Pelodiscus sinensis: one gene and its partner. The protein of the gene in region 2 purifies or fractionates together with the protein of the main gene of each other region. This does not show direct contact. Links are inferred from orthologs where the notes say so. Each region holds a gene or a part of one and is shown on either strand. Other genes may lie near its edges.

The links.
Region 1: the proteins of HSPD1 (region 2) and SIRT3 purify together in Homo sapiens (affinity purification with mass spectrometry; 3 studies listed by BioGRID and IntAct, counting the BioPlex papers as one, with this or other methods). This does not show direct contact. The link is inferred for Pelodiscus sinensis from reciprocal best matches to the Homo sapiens genes HSPD1 and SIRT3.

What each region holds. Positions count from the first base shown.
Region 1 is NC_134714.1:124,537,622-124,545,103, forward strand, and holds the start of SIRT3 (NAD-dependent protein deacetylase sirtuin-3, mitochondrial), read left to right. Parts: upstream 1-4,478; 5' UTR 4,479-4,600; intron 4,601-5,428; 5' UTR 5,429-5,509; intron 5,510-7,058; exon of another isoform or gene 7,059-7,302; 5' UTR 7,303-7,347; coding exon 7,348-7,423; intron 7,424-7,482. Other genes in the region: PSMD13 (26S proteasome non-ATPase regulatory subunit 13), read right to left, coding at 655-741, 1,033-1,076, 1,677-1,732, 1,815-1,849, 2,846-2,924, 4,244-4,338.
Region 2 is NC_134717.1:71,507,568-71,515,398, forward strand, and holds the start of HSPD1 (60 kDa heat shock protein, mitochondrial), read right to left. Parts: upstream 3,015-7,831; coding exon 2,841-3,014; intron 1-2,840. Other genes in the region: MOB-like protein phocein, read left to right, coding at 4,981-5,070, 7,020-7,184. UniProt on the Homo sapiens protein: Chaperonin implicated in mitochondrial protein import and macromolecular assembly. Together with Hsp10, facilitates the correct folding of imported proteins.

The DNA.
Region 1 (7,482 bases), on a different chromosome or scaffold from region 2:
TCATGCCATCCATGCTGAGGCAGGATCAAATAAACTTAAACCATCCCTGACAGCTTCTGTGCAGCCTGTTCTTAAAAACTCCCATTAATGGGGATTCCACAACTTCCCTTGGAAAACCCATCTGTCAATGCTCCAACCCCATTGTAATTTAAAAAAAAAAAGTTCAACTAAAAAGCTAAATAAAAGATACATAATACTCCTTAGCTATTTGCCAAACAACATACATGATGCTAAATTCAGTGCATCACCAAAAAGTTGCAGTGTGACACAGAAACATCAAGACAAGGTGACTCAAGGGTTTTTTCTAACCCTTCTCACACGTAAATACAATGACTGGCTATGGGTCACTAGTGGTGATAGTCATGCAGTAGAGGCATATGCCACTAGCATCTCAGCTAAAGGACTAAAACTAGAAGAAACAGTGTTATATGAACTATGCAAACACTCTCCATTATTCCAAATGGAGCTGGATTTCCAGGAGATTGGACTATGATGATTAAGAGAGATTACAGAGGAACTCAATTCACAAAATTCAATAACAAGCACACAAAAAGAGGGGCTGCCTCTAATAGCTAAGTGAGGCCGAAATAAATGAACATCCAGATGAACTGAGTGGGTTCAAGCAGACAGAACCTAAATGCCAACTAATCTCACCTTTGTGACCTGCAGGTCCCCAATGTTTAACTTCAAAGCTCCAATGGCTGTTTTACATAGAATCACAGCCTCATCACTACTTTTCACCTGCAACCACAACATAGTTACACATCAGAGAAACATAACGGTTCCAGCCACACATGCAACTACTGATATTAAATTAGCATAACTTGTGATTTAACTAAGGTTGTGTTTCTTGTGGTTTTCCCACATCAAATTCATATTCACAGAGAATTATATGTCTTGAAAAATGCACCTTCACCAATATAGCCATAGATGTAAACATGTCTGCCTACACAGCCCTACATATAGACGTAAAATGTATCAGCCATTTTACTTAACTGTGCCTACAAGAAAAAAAATGGATTTCACAAATACCTTTTCTCGAGTCTTTTCCAGGAAAGTAAGGGCCACATTGGGATCTAACATGGAGCAAGAAAAAAAGACCATATTTAGGATCTAAGCAGCAGAATATTTGAACCTACCAGAAGCACCTTAACTGGCTCTCCAGAACTCAGAGCTAGATTCTCTGGTGGTAAGAGCCATCATACCTCTACTGAAAAGTTATCTGGTCAAACATTATGTTCAACCAGTTAACCAATTAAAGAGGCTTAGGCAGGAGGCCCCTCTCCAGTCCCATGGTGCTGGAGTTGCCCCCTCCCAAGGCCAGGCTGGATGTCCCTCCTACACAATAGGCAGGGAGTTGCTCCAGCCACCAGTTAACCAAAATTGGTAAGCACCACCCAAGGGTGATGCTCACTTATAAACCTTTCACATAGCTGGTATGAATCAGCATTAGCAGAGGATCTGGCACCATAAGCATCACCCATCTCTCTAGCAAGAGTCTTTTCTGCAACAGCAATTTGACCATTAGCAGTAAAATTCTATAAGTTTATGCTTTTTACTCTCGGTATTGTGCAAACCAACTGCCTCACTCATATTGAAGTCTTAGCTGTTGCCAGCAGCCAGTTAAATCCTATCAGCCCTAAAAAGTCACCATTAATACTAGAAAAGTTACTCACCTGTCATCTGTCTAACTACATGAAGAATGATCTCTACCAAAGACAAAGGGTTCACCCTGAAATGAACACCACAGCATCAGAAAAGTTACAATTAAGAGTGCACAAATGACAAACTTACATACAAGTAGCCAGTCTCACCTGTGTTCAAACTCACTGATGAAATTCTCATAAAGCTGCAGGCAATAAAAAAAATTGACAGCCAGTTAGTGACAGGAGAATATTTCATTATAATGAACTAGGCAACTTGCCCATCACTGCACATAAAACTCCCTCAAATAAAGTAATTTTGTATCCACAGATGGAAAAGTCTAAAGCATATTGACACTAGACTTCAGAAGTTAAAAATTGCCAGAGTCTCCTCCTAACAAACTGTGGAGGTTGATTCACCAATTAATAGATTCATGAGCGACAAGTTGGTACAAAACTAGTCTCTACCAAGAGTGGATTACCTTGGCATGTTCACTCCTCTCTGTTATGAAGGACAACTATTCCACTAAGTAGCTATATAGTCAATAGATGCATGGCTCTTTTGGCATCTCTACACTCCTCTCTAAACATGAATAGCTCATTAATTTCAATATCTATTTGGTGAATCAATTTGATATAAAATGCAAAGGAGAGAAAAATGAGATGTAAGTTCACGGATCTGTGAGCTGCATTCTTAAAGATGACAATAAACCCAACTTGGAACAGAGGAATGAAATCTGCACGGATACCTGGAGTTTGTGCACTCTCAGGAAAATCATTCTGTGTGCATACACAGTTAACCTTTGTTGACAAGGCTGAAGACTGGCCTTTTTTAAAAAATAAGGTGAACCAAATTAAGACCTGTGAAAACTTGAAACTCTTCTAATTCCATTCCTCAGATTAAGTGCCATCATTTTATGTAATCCATTTCTAGCTTTAGAATTTTTATAAAACATGGCCAGATTAAACCAAAACCTGCATATAAGATCCAATCCATAAACTTCTAAAACTAATACATTGTATCTGTTTGTTGACATTTATACTCAGACCTTTCCAGACACACATGGTGTGCAGTTAGGAAGCTTAAAGCATGTTTTCTGATTTCACAATGCTTTGGGGCAGGCCTCCACACACTTATTTGATATCAGCCTAAGAAAGTTCATGCTATTCACTAACACTTGCTTAAGAATTAACCAACTCACCTTGATGAGTCCATCTCCTTTAGCAAAGCAGGGGTCCTGCACAAAGTCCAACACCTGCAGAGTAAGCTGGTGCCAAAGTCTGAAAAAAACAAAAACAAGGAGGCCCCTGACATTAGCAAGCATCAGTGCAATAAGCAAAAAAAATAGACACCTACTGAAATACTGAGGCAAACACTATATAACTAATTTCAGCTAATCTATAAGGACCAATTTAAAGGCTCATTTATGACTCAATTTGCCTGTGGTTCAGAAAAAAGGTCAAGACCTCAACTGGCCAGGGCCAGCAGAATGAAGCTTAAAACTATTCTAGACCAGACTTCATTTTAAAAACCCTTTCCTCATGCACAGATCAGAGGAATAATAAAAACCTGAGTGCTGCTTTCTGAAAAAGTTCTCAAAGAGAATCAGCAGTATAAATCAACCCTCATGACATCTTCTTACCAGTGACGAAACAAGTAGCAAGAAATCAAAAGGAAAACACCAATGTCTAGCCCATTTTCAAAACACTCGTCAATTACTTTTTAAAGACTGAAGTATGGGTTTCAGGTTCTTCAATCTGACATTTTTTGTTGTTTCAACAATTTAATTTTAAAATATAGGAAAATGTGTGTCTCTGTCTTTGCTATGAGCAAAGATGACAAACAAATGAACATCAATAGCACCTAAACAATGAAACCATATATGAAGTGTGGTCAGAACAAAACTGAAAAAACATCTCAAATTTGCTATAATTATCACACATGTTTCCTGTAACTACTATAAGTAAAAAGACACCAACTAAGACCGTGGGCGGCTTTACATTAAAGGTCTCTTTTAAATTGGAGATTAACTGAACAGCACAGGGTCACATAACTACAAGGGGGACTGCATGACTTGAGCATCACTATCAGGGAGTTTCCAACTCTCTTGCGCTGACTCCTAACAACAAAAATTACTGCATGACCCCAGACAGGGGACTGGAGCCTGAGCCTACTCATAGTCCCGAGCTGGGGCAGCAAACCTGAAGCTTTTGGTCTCGGCCCTGATGCCCAGCAAGCCTAACACGAGGCTTGGCGACCTCATTAAAATGGGATGCCCCCCCCCCCCCCCCACTCTGGAGGCCCGAGCCAGAGTTTGCGAACCCCTGCGGGACCTCTGGCCCGCAGAGTCAAGGCGCGATGCTGATGCTGCACCGAAGTGCTGGGGGCGGGGCCTGTGCGCGCACAGGGGGTTACAGGACGAGCCCCCGCCCCGGGGGTCTGGGGCAGGGAGCGTCTCCGGGCGGAACAGAAGCCCCGACACCCGCTCGCTCCAACAGAGCGCTCGAGCCGCCCAGCGCCCGCCAGGAGCCAGGCTCGCGCGGGGGGACCGACCCACCCCGCGCCGGGGAGCAGCCCCCGCCCCCGCCGGCCCGCTCACTTCTTGGTGTAGAGCTCCTCCAGGCGGTGCCACACGGCGGCCTGGCCCGGCCCCGAGCTCTGGCTCTGCTGCAGGAAGCCCGGCACGTCCTTCATGATGGCGGGGAAGGGGAGGGTGAGACCGGGGCGGGCGGGGAACGAGACACCGAGACCCCACCACGGAGCAGGAGGCCAGGCCACCCCGCTGCTGCCGCCGGAAATGCACTCTCACTTCCGGTAACTGCTTCCCCCCTGTGCGCGTGCGCACGCGCGCGGAGCATGACGGGTACCGTATGGCCTCGCGTAGCGCAGCCCCTCAACTCCGCCCTCTCGGGGGAGAGGTGGGTGGCCGAATGCGGGGAGCTCGCTGGTTGCCATGGTAACATCCGCGGCCTAGGCTTTACAACGCGGAGGACACGCAGCCCACGGGCCGGGTGTTTCCCTCCCCGCAGCGGCTCCGTGCCCCCGGGCAGGGCCATAGGGCCTCGCGCCCAGCCCCAGCGCTGGAGCCCACCCCACCAGGACGTTGCTCGCGGAGATCTCCGGGCCTGGCTGGGGGGTGTCTCGAGATTCCGTCCTGCCCCTGCTAAACACGCGTGGGGCAGTAACAGGGGCGACCCCCCCCCTCCCCCAGATCCCTCAGTGTAACGGCAGCGATTTGCACTAGGGCCGGGCACGCGTAACCGTGTCCACGGGGTCATCGTTTGACCTTCCCGGTTACAGCGTGGGAGCCAGGTTAAAACCCGGCTCCTGAGGACCCCCGGCCTGTAACCACTCGGGTTTGTCAGGGGTTACCTAGGGCTGCCAGGTGCCCGGCTTGGACCGGACTGTCCAGTATTTCAGTTTCTGTTCGGGAAGCAAATTGCGGAAATAGAAATGTCCGGTGTTTTCTCAATCAGATGGGATGTAGATTGTGATGCAACCGCAAGTGTGTCCGGTATTTTTGTTGAAACCATCCGGCGACCTTAGTTACGTGTTTGCATAATTGAACACGTTTTAACATCCCTGATGTGGGCCATGAATGCGGTTAGTGTGGCAGGGTTTCTCAAACACCCCGATGGACAGTGCACCCACTGTGGTGGTGGGGTACACAGGGGTCACAGAGTTCCCAAAAAATAAAACAGCTGCTGAAGGCTGCACTTTACACCTGTCTTACCAAAGCTGCTGCTTTCAGTTAATGATGCCCCCCCCCCCCCCGTTTTTTCAGATCACTTTAAAGCACAAGATGCTTATTGAAGTCCCACAATCTCACCATACTATGTTCTGAAGACCAACCAACACCTTGAAGGTAATTGAAAGTAATGCTAAAAGAAACAAATTGCAGTGTTTTAACTTGAAATGCCAAATGTCTTAAACTTTTGAGGAGGTGACTACACAGAGACAGATAGTTGATTTGTCCCCTGTGCCTTCTTAGGCTAAAAAGGAGGAAATCCTAGTGCATTTATTAACAACTCAATGAATGGAGGGAAGAGTGCAAGCATGACCTCAGTGGACAAATACAAAGAAGCTTAAAAGGGCAGCAAATACGGTTGTATGACAGAATTAAAATAGCGTAAGAACTAAATAAATTTTTTAAATGGCATAAAATCAGCAAAAAGAGGTTCAGCAGTTTCATGTAGGGAGGAATAATCAAATACACAGGTTTAAAATGGGAAAATAATGGCTTAGCATTAGAATTGCAAATGGGGATCTCTGAGTAATTTTGTAGATAATAAAATGGATATGAATCAATGCAAGGGGAATATTGAGGTACTGATAAATGGATAAATAGGCTGCCTGGATTACAGGCCTAAATTAGGAATGGTAACACTGAAACCTGAATAATAGGAACCCATGATGTAGTAGGAAGGTACTGAATTACTGGAGCTGTCACCTCTTTACATAACATCAAGGTTCAGACAGGCCTGGTCATGAAAGATGTGGGCTGTATTTTGAAAAATTTGATGTTAATTACAATGTCCTGGCCATTTCTCATCCAGAATATTGTTTTTTGCAGGATTTATATTCTGTATTACCAGTTGTTCATGTTTGAAAATCATAAAGAGGGCCCCCAAAATCACAAGATTAAAGCCAGTCCATTTTGGTTTCTTTTTAGTTGTCTGCTTTTTTGGGTGCTCTCAGATCTGATTTCCAAGCCTTTCTCCACTACCATGAAGGCCAGAAACATATTTTTAAAAAAGTGGAATTTTCACTTCATCACATGTCTCCAGCATCTGAGACAGCTAAAATATTATGAGACTTGTAATGAAATCATAAGAGTTTTGGCAATTGTCGTTCCTTGACCTAAAACAACATTGTTGTATATTGCAGTTAGAGCTGAAGGCTGCTGTGCACTACAGGCAGTCCCCGGGTTACGTACAAGATAGGGACTGTAGGTTTGTTCTTAAGTTGAATTTGTATGTAAGTCGGAACTGGTACATATTGTAGGGGAAACTCTAGCCAAACATTTCTCCAGAGCTCAGTTTTATTCTCCCACACCTCACTTCCCTCAGTCCTTTATTCTCAAGCTGAGGTGTCTGCTGAGGAAAGCCGCTCCACGTCTCCCTGGTCTGCTGGGGGGGGGGGAGCGCTAGCTTCACTTCTCCCTGGTCTGCTGGGGGGAAGCAGCTAGTGCGGGGTTGCCTCACCCCGTTTGTAAGTAGGGATCCGATGTAAGTCGGATCCATGTAACCCGGGGACTTCCTGTACTCCATTTTAGTGGTTAGGTGCATGAGCTATCTGTACTGTACACCGTTTGTACAAGTGACAGCAACTGAAAAGACAAGCTATGATTATCCGGAGTCTAGTATGATCTGCTATGGGCTCTTCTATTATGGACATTGTGGTAAAAGCCTTTCAGCTGTTCTGCCTTGCTAAGGATCACTATAAGCAAACAGATTGTTGCTTTCCCTTGTGCTCTCTGCCCTAGAACCCTCTTCTCCAGCCCCCTGGTCAATAGTGCAGCAAGATCAAGGGGAATACAGGAGATAGTGGCAGCCCCTTGCCATGCTTCTTGTAGCTAGAAAAGCATTTATACATTAGGGTCTCTAAAGGGAGAAGCAGGGAAGTAGCTACAGCAACCTCACTTGTTCTCGTCTATAGTGCAAAAGTCTCCACTTTCTGCCACAGGACAAGTGAAGGGGAAGAATGAGTCTGGGGTTACGATTCAAAGTCCCGGCTGTTAGAAATGGGCTTCCTGCTGCATGTCTTCAGGGATTCACAGGTAAGCAGCATATTCAGAGGGATTGAAAATTATTAGAGGGTGGGGAACAGGTGGATTTG
Region 2 (7,831 bases):
CACCATAGAGCTGGTGCTGGGGGAGGAAACCAGCTTTTAAGCCAGCTCCTGCCCCACCCACTGCCTCTCATACAGAGGCAGCAAGCAGGTGGAGGGAAGCAAGTAGTCAAATACTCGACTCCCGGCTACACTTAGCCTTATCTGGTAGCCAAGAACTCAACTACTTGCTCACATCACTAGCTCAGGGGTGTGAAAAGTTCACAACCAGTTCTACCAACCTAACTTCCAATGCAGACAATACTATGTTGTTGGCACTTTACCACTTTTTGCATCATTTTGTCAACCCTCACCTTGAGGAACTAGGCATTCTCCTATATGTGTTACATTTTTGCTCTTCGAAAAAGCTAAGAAGGTGCCACCTCCAACTATCACGGAGTGACTAGCTCTTTTAAGAGGGGGCAGGGCCCGGGCACCTACTGATTAGTTGCCTCCCAAAGGGGGTTAAGAAAAGGCACCTGAGCTACATAAAAGCGAAGTCAGGAAAGCCGGATCAAGAAGAAAGGACAGATGCAGAAACAGAAGCAGCAAAGGAGAGCAGGTGCAGAGAGCTATTGGGAAGAACAAAAGCTAAAGAGTATTACTGATGGGGACTGGCCAATGCTGAAAGCTGGTGCAGAGGCCCCTAGAAACAAAGGGAAGAGCCAGCCTGGTTAGGGAAAGTCAAATCCAAACCAATAAGATTGATGCAACAGAATGGTTCCCAAAAGCAGGAAGAATTTAGGAAGGCCTACGTGAGTAACTCAGCTAGTTCACGTGGGAGACCTGATTTGGGATTACCAGAGAATAGTCAAGAGGAAGGAAGCAAATGTGGGAACTCTCAAGTGGATGGCCTGGAGACTGGAGTTCTGGAACATGACAGATGATATCCCAGAATGGGGGAGGGGGGAGCTGAGAACCTCCTCTACTTTAGGATTTTGGAGAGAATGGTGTTATGAGGAGTCTGCAGATTACTGAACAAATACTAGAATACTATTCTTACAGTTAAGCCTTTGAATTGAACATAGAAATAAGGGTTACTTTTATGGCTGGACCAAGAAGAAACTCAGATACACACACACACCACCCCCCCCCCCAGCGCAGCTTATGGCTTGGGGGTTACCTTGTCAGTCATGAAGACAAACCAATTCCATTTCCATTAACACAGAGTAACTGCTTTGAGAAACCTAGTCTTACATAGGTTTTTAGATTATTTTTTAAAAGCCATGACACAAATTAAGTAGAATTTCCTCACCACTTGGTTTCTCTCAAGCTGACATTTTTTGTTTACAAAGAACTAGGGGGCTGCATCCCCTGCTCACTATGCTCGCCAACCCTCCTTCTCTGGGGGTAGGCAGCCAGGGTCAGCCACTGGGAAGGGCCAGGTTGATGCATGGCAGCCCTGGCCTACCCCCTTTCCTCCCACCCATCACACCAGTCCTGGCTCTCTTCCTCCAGCTGCCAGCGGGGAAAGGGTGTTAGGCCAGGCGGTGGCAGCCCCGGCTCCCATCTGGAGCACTAGAGAGGGAGGAGGTAAGCAGGACGTAGTGACATAATGACATCACTGTCATCCCACATGAAAAAATTTAGATTAGATAGATATTTAAGGAGTGTTGAGTAATGAAACACTCACCTTTGGAGATAACTCAATTATATGCGCGCGCGCCCACACACACACACACACACACTTCCAATCCTGCAGAGACCTACTGTGTATAATTTTATTCATGGAAGTAATCCAACTACATGCAATGGGATTACTCACTAGGATAAACACTTGCAGAATTGAGCCTAAAGGTGTATTCACCTAACAGCCACTCCTTTTATTATATCCTTGGGACTTGTTCGCGGTTACATGGTTTACCAGGGCAAATCAGGAGGAAACCCAATACAGAGACCCCAACTTTGGATTTATACTCGCTAGAGAAGTGGTTCTCAACCTATCGCCATTGTGGGTCACAGCCACACACTATAGATACACAATACTGCCTATATAGCCCTGAGGGTGTCACTTGCACCACAGCTATATGCTGATTGAGCACAAAGTGGTCCACAGGTCAATAACCTCTGCCCAGGAGAGGTGTATGATCTCCAAAGCCTTGCGTTAAACACAACCCCTATCCAAAATTACTGTCTTGCTCCAACATCACAGCTAGTACTCTGAAAACCTAAATTTGTTGTAGGTTGTTCAACTACCTCTATTATAGTCAACACTGCATGTTCACATAAGCCACGCTATTTACTAGGGATGTAAATCCTGATTAATCAGCTAAACAATAACAGATTAATCAACTGGTTAACCAATTAAGTGGGACTCCAGCTGCCAGCATCAGTCACCAGGGGCTGCCTAACAGTGCTGAAGCAGCTCTCCATCATGGCAGGTTGAAGCAGTAGGCTGCTCGTGGGGAACCATTTATGTTGTGTGATGGGAGTACTTAGCTTCCTCCCAACATGAAATTGGGTTTATTACTTTAAACTGAACTGGGTTCTGAACATGACACTTCTAAAACAGTAACATTCCATTAATACTAACCATCATAAATATATCCTGCCATAAGTCATCTTCCATCCACTGAACAATTGTCCAGCCAAAATTTAAGTGCCTGTATGGTGCTGGAAAGACTAATTTAGCAGCACAGAGATTAAGTTCTAACAAGAGTCTGGCATATTATTCATTTACTATTTCTGTGCACACAGTGGTTTAATGACTGATAAATTAACTTATGCACTGTATCTACTATAATTTTGAAATGGTCCATTTGATGACATTTTTTACTTTACGAATACCTCAATCCCCAACTGGTTTATAAAACAGGGCTGTACTGAACAAGAATTCACATTACACAAAAAATAATTTAATATACCTTTGGTCCCATGGTGACAGCTACAGCATCTGCTAGAAGATCTACTCCCTGTAGCATAAGAGCTCTAGCATCTGCTCCAAATTTAACATCTTTTGCATAGGTCCGTAGTAGGTGTGGGGCCAGTGCTCTGGACACTGGCCTCATCTGACGTAGCACTGTTGATAAACGGAGCATTTCTGAAGCATAAATTAAAATAAAAAAACACAACCACGTTAGTTTTCATTTGTCACAGTCCTTTGAACAGCCTTATTCCTACATTTTGTCCTCAAATTCCTCCCAAAATTTAAGGAATAAATAAATTACTAATAGTTCTTGAGTTTTAAATGAAAGCTGTGACCTAACAAATATTCAGTACCCTAATTTTACTAGACACTGGATACCAGAGCGAAAGTCCGGCCACCTGGAATCCTAGATTCTAATTCCAGCTCAGCCAGTGACAGGCTATGTGATCCTGGGCAAGTCACAACTCCTGCAGCTCCGTTTTTAGTCTGTAAAATGTGAATAAAGTGTATCAAGCTCACCAGAACGTGATGTTCATTTTGTTTTTCACATGCAGAGATTACAGCCACGGTGACAATGAGTTTTATCACAGCACTATTATGTGTTAGAGAACAGGGAAAGGGGCATTTCTCTCTCCCAGAGTGGGCGGGACGACTATAGACAAGGCTGGTCAGAGCTCAGCAGCTTTATCAGCAGAAATGTCCCCAAAATGAAGTCCCCGTTCCCCAAGGGGCACGCGACAGGGAAAGCCAAGCCCGCGCTGTCCCAGGGCGAGAGCATGTCACTAGCAACTAGCACAAAAGCTGCAACAGTAGCAACAGCCCGGCAGAGTCAGCAAAGCCCCGGCCCCCCGCACGGTTCTCACCGTCAGGACACAGCAAGGTCAAGAGGCGCTCGCCCCCTGCTGCTGCCGAGCCGCGCTGCACGGCGGGCAGGGAGCGGAGCCGGCCACGGGCTCAGGGCAGCGTGCAGCCCGGCAGCGGAAGGCACGGCACGAGGGCCGGTTCCCACGCGTGCGGGGCCAGGGGCGGGGGCAGCGCAGCCGAGCGGGGAACACGCTGCCCCCCCCCCCAGGCTCGCCACGTCTCCCCCGCCCCCCCCCACAGGCTCGCCACGTGCCCCCCCACCCCGACCCCCCCCAGGCTCGCCACGTGCCCCCCCCACGTTCCCCCCCAGGCTCGCCACGTCTCCCCCGCCCCGACCCCCCCCAGGCTCGCCACGTGCCCCCCCCAGGCTCGCCACGTCTCCCCCCGCCCCACGCCCCCCCCAGGCTCGCCACGTGCCCCCCCGCCCCACGTTCCCCCCCCAGGCTCGCCACGTGCCCCCCCGCCCCACGCCCCCCCCAGGCTCGCCACGTGCCCCCCCGCCCCACGTTCCCCCCCCAGGCTCGCCACGTGCCCCCCCGCCCCACGTTCCCCCCCAGGCTCGCCACGTGCCCCCCCCCCCACGTTCCCCCCCAGGCTCGCCACGTGCCCCCCCCAGGCGAAGGTCTCCCCTCCCCCCAGCCCGCGCGCAGGAGGCGGGGAGCCGCTCACACCGTGCGGGCCGGGCGGACAGGGGCTGTGAGGGGCCGCTCACCTGCGCTGGGAGGGCTGGGAGCTGGCGAGCCGCGCGGCGGGACTGACGGGAGCCTGGAGGGAACACGGCGCTGGCCAGCCCTGCCCCTCCCCCGCGCACGCAGCGGCCCATGTGGGTCCCGGGCAGCGCGGCCCCGCAAGCCGCATAACAGCATACGCGGGCCCCGGCGAGGGGCGGGGCGCGGCTTCCCGCCAATCGCGGAAGCGCGTAGCCGGGGCGTGGGCGGGGCCTGCGAGACCTCGCGCCCTATGTGCGCCCGCCGCTTCCTAGCGTGTGAATCATACAGATTTCGGGGCCTCCCCATTCCAGAACCTTCTGGAACGCTCATGCTCGCCACAGGTCAAAGGTGGTATTGCGTCACTTCCGGATGTTCGTCCGCTGCCGGGCGCAACGAGGCGGTACTGAGGCCGCCGTTTAACATCGCCGCATAGAGAGTCCGGTTCTCGTGCGGAAACTGCCGGCGAGAGTAAAAAAATACAAGTGCCGAAAGCATTTGTCTCCCAGGAACAACGGAAGTAGCCCCGCCTTCCGGCGCGCGCCGCTCGAGGGGAGGGGGAGGCGCATGCGCAGCGGGAGTGGTCCACCCCACGTGCAGTCGCGGCGGGTCAGTGGGGCGCTCAGTCGCAGAGCGGGAGGGACACGCTGCGCCATGGTGAGCGTCTCGTCCCGCCGCGCGGTGCTGCCGGGGCCCGCCCCTGGGCCGCAGTGGGGGGGCGGCGGCTCTGGGCACCCCCCAGTTGCCGCCCTGGGGCTGCGGGGCCCGGGGTTGCCCGGGGGGCGGCGGCGCTGAGCGCGGGGCCGGGGGGCGGGGGGGTTACCGCAGTGGGGCGAGACGCGACACGCGATCGCCCGGGCACATCCGCTGGGTCGGCCCGGAGCCCCTGGGCATGGAAACGTGTCCTAGCAGCTGAACAGGCAGCGAGCCTCCCTGAACCCTCATTCCCAGCTGGCCTGGGACTTGCCCAGGAACCGTCTTCTTAATCAATACAGTATAATTGGGCTGGGTTTCGTCTCTTGGCTTGTCCCTGAGCCTGACCTTGCCTGCTCACAAGGTCATGTAAATACCGCAGAAACTGTTAAGCCATGGTGGTAGAGATGTAGCCGTGTTAGTCTGGGGTAGCTGAAGCAAAATGCAGGACAATGTAGCACTTTAAAGACTAACAAGATGGTTTATTAGATGATGAGCTTTCGTGGGCCAGACCCACTTCCTCAGATCAAATCATGTTAAGCCATGGAACCAGTGAGGGCAAGGATGACCTTTTTCAAATACGTTTGTTCTCTCACCGTTTCTATCACTAAGAGAGACAGTAAGTTATTTTTAAAAGTCAAACTTAATACAGTGATATTAAGTGCTACACAGTCCTGTATTTTGTTTCAAACTTAATAAAGCGATAGTGAGCTCGTATTAGTAGGTCTCTGTAATGTGTCTTTAGACGATGCCAAATCCAACAGCCACAGCGGGAGGAAAAAACTCCTTTCTAATTTTTTCTATTTTTTTTTTGTTGATCCCTTTAGTATGTGGTCGTTCCTGTCACAGAAAACACTGATTTAAAAGAACATAAGTTAGTATAAAAAGACCCCAAATTCTTAAATCTATGCAATTGGTTAAACTAGATGTTTTCAACATGTTGATAGCCTTGCCCAAGTCTTAATAGAACTGGGGGATGAACCAACGTTCGCTAATACTTTTAAGAATATTTTTGATCTGGCAATCATATCCGCATCCTGCTTCCAAATTTATTTTTTTGTGTAGCAATAGCCCCTAAGGGAGAGATCCGGGCTTGTGCGTTCTCTGTATTTCTAGCTGATTCTACACGTGTCCAGGCTGTGGCACTTTGACATCTGTAGAAGCAACTGGAATGGTGCTGGAAGCCAGCAGCCTGTGACTTGGCAATTCTTCATATGCAACAACTTGATTGCTTTTAAACTAAAATGTGTTCTGGCTCTCTTTGGCTCCCTTTCTTGTGTTACTTGCTTAGTGAAGTTGCAAGGATTGCAGACTTGTATGTGGCTTGCACTCTGTGATCTCAAACACTGCTGTTACCTCCTGGCTCAGTAGTTAAGACTGACATTTTTAACAGCCCTAGGTTGGTAACCTTTGCTATTGCCTGCTGCTAGCTTCAAAGTAATTGCAGTTCTCAGTGTTGGGTTTTCTTTCTCCATCCTCAGCTGCACCCGCTCCCCCTCCTGCTTTCTGTTCCTTCTCCATGCAGCAAAGAGGCAGTGTTTGTAATATAGTTAATATATTATTATATATTTTAGAGTTTGTTTATTCAAGATCTCCTAGATGGTAAGAGTTGGGACCAACATAAGGGATGGGTATACGTGGAATGGGATCACTTCTCATAAAACCATACATAAAAGAGACACTCACCAGGCAGGTGAAAGGGGCTGATTGGGGGTGCACCCTTCTCCACTCTCTGGGACTGGCCAGCACTGAACCTCCCATCTCGCAGGGCCCATTAGGGAGGATGGGAAGGGCTGAAGCTTCTGCTGTTTAAATAGTAAAATCTTGTATTTTGGATTGCAACTTTGTTGCAGTCTCCAAAGTGATTTGGTCTTTTCTGTACAGTACAAAAATATTGAATTCTATTTCAACAGGCTGGGAAAGCATTTAGGAAATTTCTTCCTTTATTTGACCGTGTTCTGGTTGAAAAATGTGCAGCTGAGACTGTAACCAAAGGAGGAATCATGCTTCCAGAAAAATCTCAAGGGAAAGTGCTACAAGCAACAGTAGTGGCAATTGGATCAGGATCCAAAGGAAAGGTAAATCTATCCCAATTTTGCACATCACTAACTTTTTTGGATAAAACAAATAGAAGCAGGATGTTATCTGAAAAATGAAAATCTAGATAGCTAAATGATGTTTGTCCTTACATTTACATTGTGCCTGATCTAAACAATGTCTATAATATTTTGAAGAGGACATTTTTAAAAAGAGCCAAGATCTCCTCAGATCTAATTTGGCACAGATAGTCGCTGACCAATTTACTGTGCTTGTCTTTGTCCCCATCTGTAAAATGAGTAATAATACCTCTTTCACAAATGTTTTGAGAGAGCTAGTTATTGATGGTTGTAAAGAGCTTTAAAGAAAACAAGCTCTTTTTAAAAAAATGTTTTCTGGGATGATAGTTTTTCTTGCTTTGGCATTAATTGTTAAATGATGCAATCTGAGTGTTGGGAGGCTGAAGGCTCGTTTTTGCATCATGGAATAAATTGTTGAATAGTCTTATTGATTAAATTGCTATGGCCCACAGTGTGTTTCCACGTTTTAAGAGCAGAACAGAAATACAGACCATGGTTTGTATTAAATATTATGAATAGTCTTGGGTTGTGCAAAACATCATGTGTTAATTAAAGCTTTTAAGTGTTCTAGCTTCTTGGACTTTCCAGTTTTAGAATAACTGGAGATT